3 linked regions of the Ovis aries genome follow. The protein of the gene in region 1 interacts with the protein of each later gene in a biochemical or structural test. Links are inferred from orthologs where the notes say so. Each region holds a gene or a part of one and is shown on either strand. Other genes may lie near its edges.

Region 1 (4,202 bases):
CCCATGGGGGAATGTGAGTTCCTCTATCAGGGATCTAAGGCCGGTCCCTTGCAATGGAAGCACAGAGTCTTAACCACTGGATGACCAGGGAAGTCCCCTATCACGCTTTCTTACACATACATATCATAATTGAGATGAAAAATATTATTCTTTCTTGTGACCATAAAACTCTAGGTTTTTAGAAATATTTCTTCTGGGTTATCATTACAATTATTATGAGAGCAGAAGTGATAAAATAGCATAAAGATTGTACACATTTTCATAACTTAAAAGTACATGTAAAATGAGATAGACGAGATGGTGTTTATGATGCCTTAAAAGAAATAGGCTACATGTCATTTTTTTAAATTAGAGGATAATTACATTGCAATATTGTTACATTTCTATTTAAGACAAGGTAAGGGAAATCCCTGATGGTCCATCAGTTAGGACTTGGTGCTTTCATTGCTTGCGCTGGGGGCCAGTTCCATCCCTGGTTGGGAAACTAAGATCCCTGCAAGATTCAGGGCGTGGCCCAAAACAAACAAAAAACAACCAAGGTAAAACAAGGTAAAGTTATCCCTAGATTTCATGGTTAAGAACTATACCTTTTTTCTTTTTTTCCTTTTTAAATAGAGAGGGAGAAAGTCTATTGTAAAAGAGAAAAGGAAGGAGAAGCTCTAGTGCAAGCATTTATTCAGGAAAACAAATTTTGGGAAAACTGAGACTCTGGAAATTAATCCTTTATATGTCCCAAATCCAAGTATCCTTAGGCGAGTCTCCGTGTTCCCCAATTTAAGACTACAGGCTTAGACGACTGGAGAGAAGTGGTGTAGGATTCTTTAATGGGAGTGAGGGTTTGAGGGTTTGGAACTCCTGAGGGCTTGGGGATGTAAGAGACTGTGGTCCTAGAAAGTGGCAAGATGCTCACCCTCTGTGGAATTCTCCAGGATGCGGGAAACTGAGAGATTGGAACCATGTTAACCTTTCCGGTTTCCTCAGAAGTTCACCTCTGGGCCCAGCTTTGCCTCTTCGAGCCCCTCCAGTTTCCGTAAAGTTGGTTTAGGGTGAGGGTGTGGGCGAGGCGGGCGCCAATGTTGGTTTCTTCTCTCTTCCTTCGTCAGCTCTCCCAGAGGAAGAGGAGGAGACGAGACTCAAGGTATTTTACGAGCCTCGAGCCTCGTTTCTTCTCACAGCTCTTACAGATTCTGCTCAGAGCCCCCTCCCCACATTGCCTGTCCTCAGGCCCTAGAGGTCCTGGACAAAGCACAGCCTCCTTGTCATCAGCGCCTGCGCCTCGGGAACCCCCTCCAGAAAACGGCGGAGAACCAACTAGGTCCCACCTACTTGGTTGGTCATTACTTCTGTGGTGGAGCTTGGAAAGCACGCCAACAATCGCAATAATAAGAACACATTTGTATAGCGTGTTGTGCTCGTTTGTATGCGTGTGTTACGACTTCATGATTGGGAGATGTAGGCACCTGGATGTAGAAGTAGCTTCTGGGCAGCTGCAAGGGAGCGCGCAGACCACAGAAAGAAATGACAGGTACAGTCGACTGAGCCGCGGAAACCGGGACCTGGCAGGTAGGAAAGTAGCGCCACAAGGCTTGTCAAAAGCCCAGCGGCTAGGAAAGGTTTCATTTCCCTTTTAAGACACTCCTGCCTTTCCGTGCCTCCCTGTTCAGCCTTGGAGGGCCCAATTCCTCACCCCGCGCTGTTCCGTTATTTCCTCCCCCGACCCGGCCCCCCGCCCCCCCACGTAGAAAGGTGGATCAGTCCTCCCCGCACGCGACTAGCGGTGGTTGGGCCGGGATGCGGGAAGTTTCTGATTGGCGGAGTCGCGGAAGCACCGGGTGAAAAGAGCTCCACTGACGGCGGGCCCCGCTCCCGGCGCAGCCAGAGCCGTACGCCAAGATGGCGGCCCCCAGGTATTCAGGACGCCCGGAGGCGACAAATCCGCCCCCTGCAGGTCAGGGTGAAAGGAGCCGCAGACGAGGTGGGCGGCAGGGGAGGCTCTAGGAGGGGCGGCCCTCCCTCCCTGCCTGCCTGCCTGCCTGCCGGCGGCACAGGATTCCGTGCGACAATATGGCCGCGCCCAGAGCGTGTGGGCGGAAGCTCCGCGGCTTCCGGTAAGAAGTGGGGCCTGCGGTGGGAGGGGGAAGGAAGACGGAGGGAACCATGCGAGGTTCTGAGATCCGCGGAGAGGGTCGCCTCGAGAGACCGTTTCTGAGGTGGGGGCCGGACGGTGTGGGGAGCGAAGGCGGGGGCAGGACTGTCGAGGGAGAGGTACTGGGGAGTCCCCGGCGCGGAGTCTGAGGGGCAGGCTGTGGGATCCTCCTTCCTATCCCTGAAGGGGAGTGGGGCGGCCAGGGGCTGAACTGGGGGAGGGGGACTTGGCGGGAAGCTCATTTAGGGGAAGGACTGGACTCAGGGCTGGGATCTGAGAGAAATCGGGAGAGCCCAGCGTGGAGCTCACGATTGGTTACAGGTCACTGAGAGAGAATGGGGGAAATTAGGGTGGGGTGAGAAGGAGGGGACTTGGGGTGAAATATCTTCAACCTAGCGCTTCGGTTTGAGGAGACCCATCAGAGGGTGGAATATAGAGATAATTTAAGTAGGAGAAAAGGGAATGGATTGTTGGGAGGGAACCTCCTTCTCAAGGGGTCTCCGAGTTGGGGTTATCTTTCAGAATGGGGTGAGAGTATAGATTTGATATGTGTGAGAGAGAGCGAACAGGGAAAACGGTGGTGCCAGCGGGGCTGTGGTGTCTGTTCGAGAGAATGTCAAGGAAATCTGTAGTGCAGCGAGAGAGGTCGTCCAGGGGTTGAGAGGAAGACTCAACTTGGCAACTCTGAGAAATAGTGGGGAAAACGAGACTGAAAGACCGGATACATGCGTGGGGGGTGGAGCTGGAGGTGGGACTTCAGGTTTTCAGAAGGTTTGGAACTCCCCTAGTAAAGGGCCGGAAAAACGTACAGTACTAATGCTTGCTGAAGCTAGGAAATGAGGACACTGTTGGGCATGGCTGGGTGCTTTTGAAACCCAAGACTGGAAAACGTGTGAGATGAAGGGATGGGGCGGTGCTGGAGGGGCTCTGTCTGAGGCCCCATCCCCTTCCAGCAGGAATTACGAAATCCCCAACACTTCCTCCCTCCGGGGGATTTGATCCCCTATGGCTACCGCTAACAGCATCATCGTGCTGGATGATGATGATGAAGATGAAGCAGCTGCTCAGCCAGGGCCCTCCCACCCACCCCCTAATCCGGCCTCACCCAGGGCAGAAGCCCCTGGCTCCTCTCAGCCCCATGGGGCTGGAGGAAGCAGTAGTTCGGGCGGCAAGAAATGCTACAAGTTGGAGAATGAGAAGCTGTTTGAAGAGGTGAGCTTTAGGGGAGAAGACTGTCGTGCCCCAGGGAGGGGGATGGCTGCTTGGCTCTGTCCTTTCTCCCCCACTAACCCCACCTCACCTTTCTCTCAACCCTATCCTTTTGTCTTTTTCTCCTCCCTTTTCCCCCGTGAACCTTCCAGTTCCTTGCACTGTGTAAGACGCAGACGGCGGACCACCCTGAGGTGGTCCCGTTCCTCTATAACCGGCAGCAGCGGGCCCACCCTCTGTTTTTGGCCTCGGCGGAGTTCTGCAACATCCTGTCTCGGGTCCTCTCTCGGGCCCAGAACCGGCCAGCTAAGCTCTATGTCTACATTAACGAGCTCTGCACGGTTCTCAAGGCCCACTCAGCCAAGAAGAAGCTGAACCTGGCCCCTGCTGCCACCACCTCTAGTGAACCCTCTGGGAATAACCCTCCCACAGACCCCTCCTCGGACCCAAATGCTGAGACCACTGGCTCTGAGGCCCCAAGGACCCGTGGTTCCCGGCGGCAGATCCAGCGCTTGGAGCAGCTGCTGGCACTGTATGTGGCAGAGATCCGGCGGCTGCAAGAAAAGGAGTTGGATCTCTCAGAATTGGATGACCCAGACTCCACTTACCTGCAGGAAGCAAGGTTGAAGCGTAAGCTGATCCGTCTCTTTGGGCGGCTGTGTGAGCTGAAAGACTGCTCTTCACTGACAGGCCGGGTCATAGAGCAGCGCATCCCCTACCGTGGTACCCGTTACCCAGAGGTCAACAGGCGCATTGAGCGGCTCATCAACAAGCCAGGGCCTGATACCTTCCCTGACTATGGAGATGTACTGCGGGCCGTAGAGAAAGCAGCTGCTCGGCACAGCCT
Region 2 (4,051 bases), on another chromosome or scaffold:
CAGCCCCGGTGCACCGGTAGACTCCCACCACCGCCCCAAACGCGTGTGCGCGTGCGCGCCCGTATATGAGTGTGCGTGCGCAGGAACCAGTGTCCGAGCCGCAACCGTTAACACTGAAACGTAGACAGCCAAGACATAGCTGTCATCTCATTGGAGGAGGGATGTCGAAGGGCGGGGTCACACACGCCTCGCCTCCAAGAATGATCTCAGCCCTGGGGCAGCTCAGTTCAGCGCAGTCTCGCAGGCCCCGCCTCCCAAGGGACACTATGGGGCTTGTGCGCGTGTGCACCAGCGTGGCCTCGAGGCCGGATGCAGCTGCGGGAAGGTGCGGAAGTTGCACTTGCGCGCAGTCTGGGCGGCTCCGGGCGGTTAGGGCCGAGTCAGCACCCCCCGGCACCCCTTGGAGCCCGCGCGCAGAATTAGCCACTCTCTGCCTCCGGGAAGTCGGCTATCAAAACGTTTATTGCGCGTAGCGCCGGGCGGCCCTAGGGAACGCCTCCAATGTGGCCCCGCTCGTCCACGCATCCCTGCGTTGCCCGTAAGCTCCCCGGTCCCGCGCTCACCACATTCGTGTCCCGCTCCAGCGCCGGTTCCCAGCCCAGGTCCCGGGGCCCGCAGCAGTCTAGGGAGACGAGCGCGCGGCAGCGGTAGTGGCAGGTGAACTTGCAATCTGCAGAGAGGCCTGGCCATAAGGTGGAGGAACCCCAGCAACCAGCTCGGAGGAGCGTCCCGGGGACAGAAGCGAAGCCCCGGGATGAAGGCCGTTGCTCGTCGTGTTCTCCATGACTGGCCTTATCTTAGTCCCCGTTAACACCCACTGCCACTCAGATTTTAGAGTCTCCCCTGCCGCCGCGCCTCCCCGTTCTGTCCCCCCCCCCCCCCCCCCCCCCCCCCCCCCCCCCCCGCCCCGGGCCTGGAAACTGGCAGGGAAGACTTCATGCTGTTAGGGATCCAGGCCTGCTCAACAGTTGGATTTCTAGCGCCTAGGGCAGAACTTCCCCTTCCTCATTATCAGCGTCCCTCCCTCCTCCCATTTACTGGAGGGGGAAACAAAAAAACTTTTAACTCAGTGCCTCTTCGTGTCATTTTTCTCTATTCCCCTTACACACAAAACTTACCAACACTGGTCTCTTACTTAATTCCTCGCCTTCATCCTCTACCCATTCCAGTCTTGCTCTCCTCCCTCCAGGGAACTCAGAGACCGAACCGCGGAATGCGGTGGTCCCTTCACCTCTTCAGCATCGTCTGATGCTTGCTCTCCGGATTCCCCGGGGGCCCTCACTACCGCGGTTTTCCTCCCACCTCACTGTAATCCCTGTTCAGGGGGCTTTAGTTCTGTTTCAGCTTCCAGATCTAATGGTGGAGAGTCCGAGGCCCAGTCCTGATCGCTTTTCTTCTCTGTGTACACTGACCTACCTTAGATCCAAGGCTTCCATCTGACCTCCTTGAGATCAAATTCTGTGTCAGTATCTTCATTTGGCTGTCCAATAAACAATTCAACCAGACATGGCCAACATTTAACTCACTTTCCTACTCCTTTTAATTCTTCACTTCTCCTCACCCTTGCCCTTGCCAGAGTTCAACTCAGCAAAAAACAAAAACCAGACCAAACCACCCCAACTCATCCTTGATGCCTCTCTTGTTTCTGCTTCTGACACACACCCAAATTGTCCTGTTTTTCATTCCCATGGCCACTTTATTTCTCCTTGGGAACACTGCTATCTTCCCAGCCCTTGTTCATGCTTTTTGTATGCTGCCACAAGTCCCATACTCGTCCTAGCTGAATAAAGACAAACTCCTGTACTAGATGAGAGGGTCTCCATCACACACAGGCTTGGGACATCTTCCCTAAGTTCCTAAATGGGCCAGAGCAGTGATTCTCCACCCAGGCTACACATTAGAATGACCTGTTTTTAAAAATCGCTGGTACACTCTCAGTGACCTGACTGATTCAACAGGTCTGCAGTAAGATCCAAGGGTAGAGGTTTGGAGGGCTATAAAAGCATCCCAAGTGTTTCTAGATGGTGTATGGCCAGTGAGACAGCAACCTCAGCTTGCTGGTGATTTCTGGGAGGGCAGAAGCACCAACTGGCGTGTGGTTGCGTTTCATGTTTTAGCAGCTGGCTGACTGAACTTCCAATAGGTATTTGCTAAAGACAGACTCAAAACTCCTGCTTGTAGCCCTGTGCCCAAGTTTCTATTTCCAGGCCTTCTCCCATAGGTGGGTAAGTTCCCTTCACCACAGGGATTCTCCTGGGGGACTTGGCAAGTGAATCTTTCCAAAGGGGTAAGTGTAAGAATGTGAGTCCAGAGACTGACAGGAACAAGCCTTTCTCAAGAAGGGCCAAGGCACTGGTTAAACTTGAAAGTAGTACCTTGTTTACAGAGAAGCACGTTTGCCTAACTGTCTCAGAGGCAGGTGGAGCTTGGCAAGGTTATAAACTATCAGCCCGCACTCTCTTGTGCTATGGGGCAAAGGTTACAGACCTGGTCTGTGGGAACTGTCCCCCCTGACCCCCTCCATCGCAACTTGGCCCTCAGCGACGGGGCTGTCCCTTGGCTGCCCGTTTCGCTCCCGCCAGCTCTTGGGTCCGCTACTCACGCGCGCACTGCAGACCCTTGCGCACGACGCCCCAGATGAAGTCGCCACACAGGTCACACCACGTGTGCGTGGCGGGCCCCGCCGGCTGGAAGCGGTGGCCCCGGCCCGGGACCTGCTGCCTTGCGGCGTTGCGAGCTGTGCCCGGCGAGATGCGCAATGCATTGGCACGCTCGAGCCGAGTGCGCCCCGGGGCGGCGCACCGTTCGGGTGCCAGTTCCCGCAATTCAATGAGCTCAGGCTCAGCGGACATGGCCCGGTCGGGCCGGGTCTCCGGCCGGTTCTGGGCGCTAGCGAGCGCGGGGCGGGCGGGGCCGCGGGGCGGGCCCCGATTCGGCGCCGCCTCCAGGATTCAGGCAGAGCGGCGGGAGAGCAGAGGAGAGCCGCGCAATGGAAACCTGGGCGCCCGCGCTGTGTCGGCCCGCAGGCGGAGTGGGACGGCGGGTGCGGCTGGGGGCTGCTCTCTCAGAGTCCCCGCCCTCCGTTTCCTATCCTCCCTTCATCCCGCGAGCCACTCCCCTCCTCTTAACAACCACGACGACCTCAAGGGGCCACGAGGAAACAGGCGTGTTTGTGGAAGCTAGCTTTACTTTACAGTACTAGAGGAAGAGGGTCCCCACATCCGGCCCTTGTCCCCTCCCCCCCGCCCCCCGCCCAGGCCTCCTGCCCCAGCTTGGGGAGGCTGCACCCTAAGCCTTCGCGCCTGATAGAGCAGGAAGTGGGGAGCGCTTAGATGGGGGGAGATGGGTCAACAGCTCTTCCCGCCTGCTATCCTCACCACCCGGGAGGCTGGGGCACTTGCAGAGGCCAGATTGAGATCCAGAGGTTTTGGGGGGACACTTGAGTGGGTTGTAGGCACGGGTGGTTGGCCCTCAGCCGCTGCAGCCTTCACTTGGCTCTGTCCCCCTGGGCTGCCAGGACACAAGCCTTTCCATGCTTCTCCCAGTGCTTGACTTGGCACTCCCTGCAGGCAAATGGGCCGGTGAAGATGCAGTGATCCGAGGGGTATGGGAATGGGGGTCCAAGGTCCTAGGATGCCCTCACCTGCAGCAATACCACTCATTCTGGCACCGGGAGCAACGCTTGGAGGCCTCTGCACTGCAGTAGGCACAGCGGGGCCGCTCTGGAGCCACTGCCTCGAGCACATCCAGCCTGTAGGTCTCAGCCCACCTGGAAAAAGGGTCCGGAAGGACTTGCTGGACCTGTGGGTGGGGGGACAGGGGCAACCCCACCCACATCCACGCCGCTGCCTCCCTTCTCCTCTTCTGCTGGCTTAGCAGGCCTCACCTTCGCGCCTGCAGCCTCAGGTCCTGTTCCGAGGGGCTAAATACATGCCGCAGCTGATGCTTGGCGATAGCCTGCCACTTGCCTTTGTTCTCTCGCTCTAGCCGCTCCCAGATTTCTGGGATCTGGGGAAGAGAAGCAGAGAGTGGCAGGGAGGAAGAGCTGGTC
Region 3 (3,586 bases), on another chromosome or scaffold:
GCCAGAGGAGGTGCCGAGGGACCAGATGCAAGCCGCGGGATTGGCCGTGGTACAGCCGGTGCCAGGGGCACACCCTGTGCCAGTGTACGCCTTCTCCATCCAAGACCCCTCCCGCAGAGAAGTAAGATATTCCCCAGCCCTCCCCTCCCCTTCCCAGGGCCCGGATCCCACTAGGTGGTAAGAGGTGGAATGGAAGTGAGAACCCAGACCTCAATAGGCACTGACTCTGCACTCTCCCAGCTCTTGGTTGCCGTGTTAGGAAGCTTCCCTCCAAGCAGGAGCCCCTCCCAGGGCAGTCAGAAGCCAGCAGAGATTGGTGGTCAGTGGTCACCAGCAGGGCCAGTGTGCCTGCTGACTTGGGAGGACCTCTGTGTAGAGAGGTGTGATCCGCACGGCAGATAGCAAAGGGGACAGGAGGAGCAAAGGGCATGGGGCGGGGAACAGATTCCTGCCACTCAGGTCTGGGTCTCTGCCCACGGCCCCAGTCCCCTTGGAGGCTCCTGACCCTGCCCTGTGACACCCCACTGCACAGGAGGGCACCCACACGCAGAAGAGGAAGGCCTGCCAGACCGAGTGCCCCCGGAAGGTCATCAAGATGGAGTCTGAGGAGGGGGAAGAGTCTAGGTTGGCTCAGAGCTCCCCTGAGCAGCCCAGGCCCAGCACCTCCAGGGCAGTCTCGCCACCCCACCTGGATGGGCCCTCCAGCCCCAAGAGCCCCATCATAAGAGATGAGCTCCCCTTGCCTGAAAGCAACCATCAAACCGGCGACCCTGCAGAGACAGGTAGGGAGTGGGGATGGGCAGGATGGGCTGAGGCCTGCATGCTGTCTTCCAGGGGCTGGGTGGGACCCCTCCTCTGCATCCTCACGCCCTTCCCAGGAAGCCCAAGGCAAGCAGCATTCCCTGTGTGTCTTGCCCTCAGCTGCCACCAAATGGGGAAGGGCAAGCCCAGGGTTTGTCTGGGGGGGGCTAGCGCGGATGGTTTAGCCCATGCTTTTCTGGGATGCCCATATAGGGAGCATGATAGCCTGGGGAACACATTTCCTTAGCTCCTTCCCCTGACACACCCTTTTTGAACCCAGTACCATGCCTCTGCACAGGATGGGTCTCCCCAAACAATGTTTGTTGGTGGGTGTCTAGCACATGCTCAGAGAAGACTTGGGTAAAGTCCACACCCGTCGGTTCCCAAATTTTTTTTACGAAGGCCATCCACCTAAGGTATCTCGCTTGCTCAAGGTATCTTTTATGGCCACTGCCAGACAGGGAGTCCTTTCATGTGAGTGGAGGTCAACCCCCAGAATCCTGGAATGTTCAAGACTGTTCTTCCTGGAGCTCTTTTACCCAGTGTCCAGCATTGTTTTCATTCTAGGTCCCACACTGACCCCTGTCCCCGGTCACACTGAACCCTGACCCTGGCCATACACTCAGCCCCAATGGAGAATCCTCGCTCACAAATGCTATTGGTAATCAGGTTTTGTAAACCTAAAGTATCTTTTAACTCAAACATCTCAGCTCACAGAGCTGAGAATTGGAACAACCAGTGTGCTGCTTTAGGATGGTCAAAGGTTCCAAACCAGGTGGTGCTTGTCACACCCCCTCCACAGGTAGTCAGTTCTGAATCATTCCAGGGCCAGTAGCTGAATTAAGTCGTCACAGACAAGGCATAGCAGGCAGTGATGGAAAGCCACCTTGAGTAACCCCTCCGTACAGGCAGATCCTGGCTTCCCAGGTGGCCCAGTGGTAAAGAACACGCCTGCCAACACAGGTAGACATCAGAGAGGCAGGTTCGATCCCTGCATTGGGGGTCCCCTGAAGGGAGGCACAGCAACCCACTCCAGTATTCTTGCCCGGAGAATTCCACTGGCAGAGAGGCCTGGCGGGCTACAGTCCACAGGGTTGCAAAGAGTCGGACATAACTGAGCGACTAAACAGGCAGATCCACGCTGGCACACACGCTGAATGTTGACAGCCCCCTTGCAGGGCACATGTTACCCACCCAGCCCACTGGCCTGCAAGGATTCCCACAGGAGAACACCCTGGGCTCCATCCACGAGCAGCCCTGGCAGGGCCTAACCCTGTCTCCCCTGCTCCGTTTCAGAGGAGCGCGTCGTGGTGATCAGCAGCTCGGAAGACTCAGATGCTGAAAACCCGGTGAGTTGCTCAGAAGTCTGACCCAGGACACTGCCTCCCCCCATTCCAGGTCCCCAGGGGCACAGCCCCAGCAGGTGACTCTCAGACTCACCTCGCGCCCAGGGGATTTATCAGTGAGGCAGTGAGTCCTGAGCTGTCCGGAGGATAGTCTCCAATTGCCAGCTGTGGCCTGGATCGCCCCAGCCCTCCCATCGTACCAGGGTAGGAGCCATCAGTAATCACACGTACTCTTTCTGAAGGCCTGGACAGGGCTTCCCTTCAGAGCCCTATATCTTTTCTGGACTAGCCAATGCCTGTGTCTGCGGCTTCCTTATGCATTGTCTGCCCTCCTAAGTCTCAGTGAGGGGGGCGGACCTGCACCCGTTCCCCGGTTAACGGCAGTGATGCAGGGCCACATGGGGGTATGAGGGTGCAGGGCAGCACCACGCAGGCCCCAGACTAGTACACTGTGACTCCATGTAAGCAGAACTTCCTTTAAAGCCATCCCACAGTGGGACAAGTGGCCGCACGGGTTGTGACCCTCCTGTCCCTGGAGGTTTGTTCATAGCGGTTCATAAAGGCCAGGCTGTCACCTGCCCAGGGGTGAAAGGGATCGGAATTAGAGTGGAAGGCTGGACTGGGTGGCCCCTGAGGCCCCTGCCAGCCTTCAGTCTGAGGTTCTGTGTTGGAAAGCGTGCGGAGCCCACTGAGACCGCCGTCCTGCCTCCTTCCTCATCCATCCAACCCCCGCCGAGAGCTCGCCGAGCGTCCCACTCCCTCCGGGCCTCTCGTCTGTCCCATGGCACATGCCGCCCCTCGGCTTGGCCTCCCCACCATCCTGCCGAGCAAGCTGCCATCCCCGACGCTGAGAGTCCCAGCCAGCCTGCCGGTCACCAGGAGCAAGCTGCCGTCCACCGTGGGATCAGCTTCCTGTCACGTGGGGCGCAAAGAGCCCTGCGCCCTCGCAGCACCTTTCACCTGCCCCTCAAAACGTATGGTGCCCACAGGTGGCCTTGGCCTCCGTCCATGGGTCAAGCCACCACCCCGGCCACCACTGGGCCTCCCAGCCAACCTGCCAATCCCCAGGAGGATCCCACCTGCCCCCAAAGGGCCAGCGGCCAACCCCACCTGGTGCAACTGGCTGCACGACCCCTTGACCCCTTCCCTGCTGTGTCCCAGTGGCTCAACATCTTTCCCCTTCCTCACCCCCCTGGGATCTCCCAGCGTAACACCTTTTATAGGAGAATAATGCGGGGAGGCAGAGCATCCCAAATTCCTGGAGCAGGGGTCTCCCCTGGGGATTCTGGCAGGGCCCCCATGGAAAATCCCCCAGTCCAGGTCCCCCCGGAGGCCTCTCCAAGTGCATTCCTACCACTCCACCCTCTGGAGAGGCCACCCATCAGCACAGACACCCCGCAGACAAGCCTCTGAGTGTCCCAAGCGCCTCCCTCCTCTGC

The links.
Region 2: the proteins of DAXX (region 1) and RASSF1 form a complex in vitro, tested with the Homo sapiens proteins (4 studies listed by BioGRID and IntAct, with this or other methods). The link is inferred for Ovis aries from reciprocal best matches to the Homo sapiens genes DAXX and RASSF1.
Region 3: the proteins of DAXX (region 1) and PML form a complex in vitro, tested with the Homo sapiens proteins (2 studies listed by BioGRID, with this or other methods). The link is inferred for Ovis aries from reciprocal best matches to the Homo sapiens genes DAXX and PML.

The regions. Positions count from the first base shown.
Region 1 is NC_056073.1:7,642,990-7,647,191, reverse strand, and holds the start of DAXX (death domain-associated protein 6), read left to right. Parts: upstream 1-1,320; 5' UTR 1,321-1,563; intron 1,564-1,793; exon of another isoform or gene 1,794-2,108; intron 2,109-2,139; exon of another isoform or gene 2,140-2,265; intron 2,266-3,099; exon of another isoform or gene 3,100-3,102; 5' UTR 3,103-3,151; coding exon 3,152-3,358; intron 3,359-3,507; coding exon 3,508-4,202. UniProt on the Homo sapiens protein: Transcription corepressor known to repress transcriptional potential of several sumoylated transcription factors. Down-regulates basal and activated transcription.
Region 2 is NC_056072.1:50,058,015-50,062,065, reverse strand, and holds the start of RASSF1 (ras association domain-containing protein 1), read right to left. Parts: upstream 2,885-4,051; 5' UTR 2,853-2,884; coding exon 2,603-2,852; intron 671-2,602; coding exon 564-670; intron 38-563; exon of another isoform or gene 1-37. Other genes in the region: ZMYND10 (zinc finger MYND domain-containing protein 10), read right to left, coding at 3,488-3,563, 3,644-3,769, 3,887-4,008. UniProt on the Homo sapiens protein: Potential tumor suppressor. Required for death receptor-dependent apoptosis. Mediates activation of STK3/MST2 and STK4/MST1 during Fas-induced apoptosis by preventing their dephosphorylation.
Region 3 is NC_056071.1:32,241,814-32,245,399, reverse strand, and holds part of PML (protein PML), read left to right. Parts: intron 1-1; coding exon 2-121; intron 122-532; coding exon 533-782; intron 783-2,097; coding exon 2,098-2,150; intron 2,151-2,822; coding exon of another isoform or gene 2,823-3,560; exon of another isoform or gene 3,561-3,586.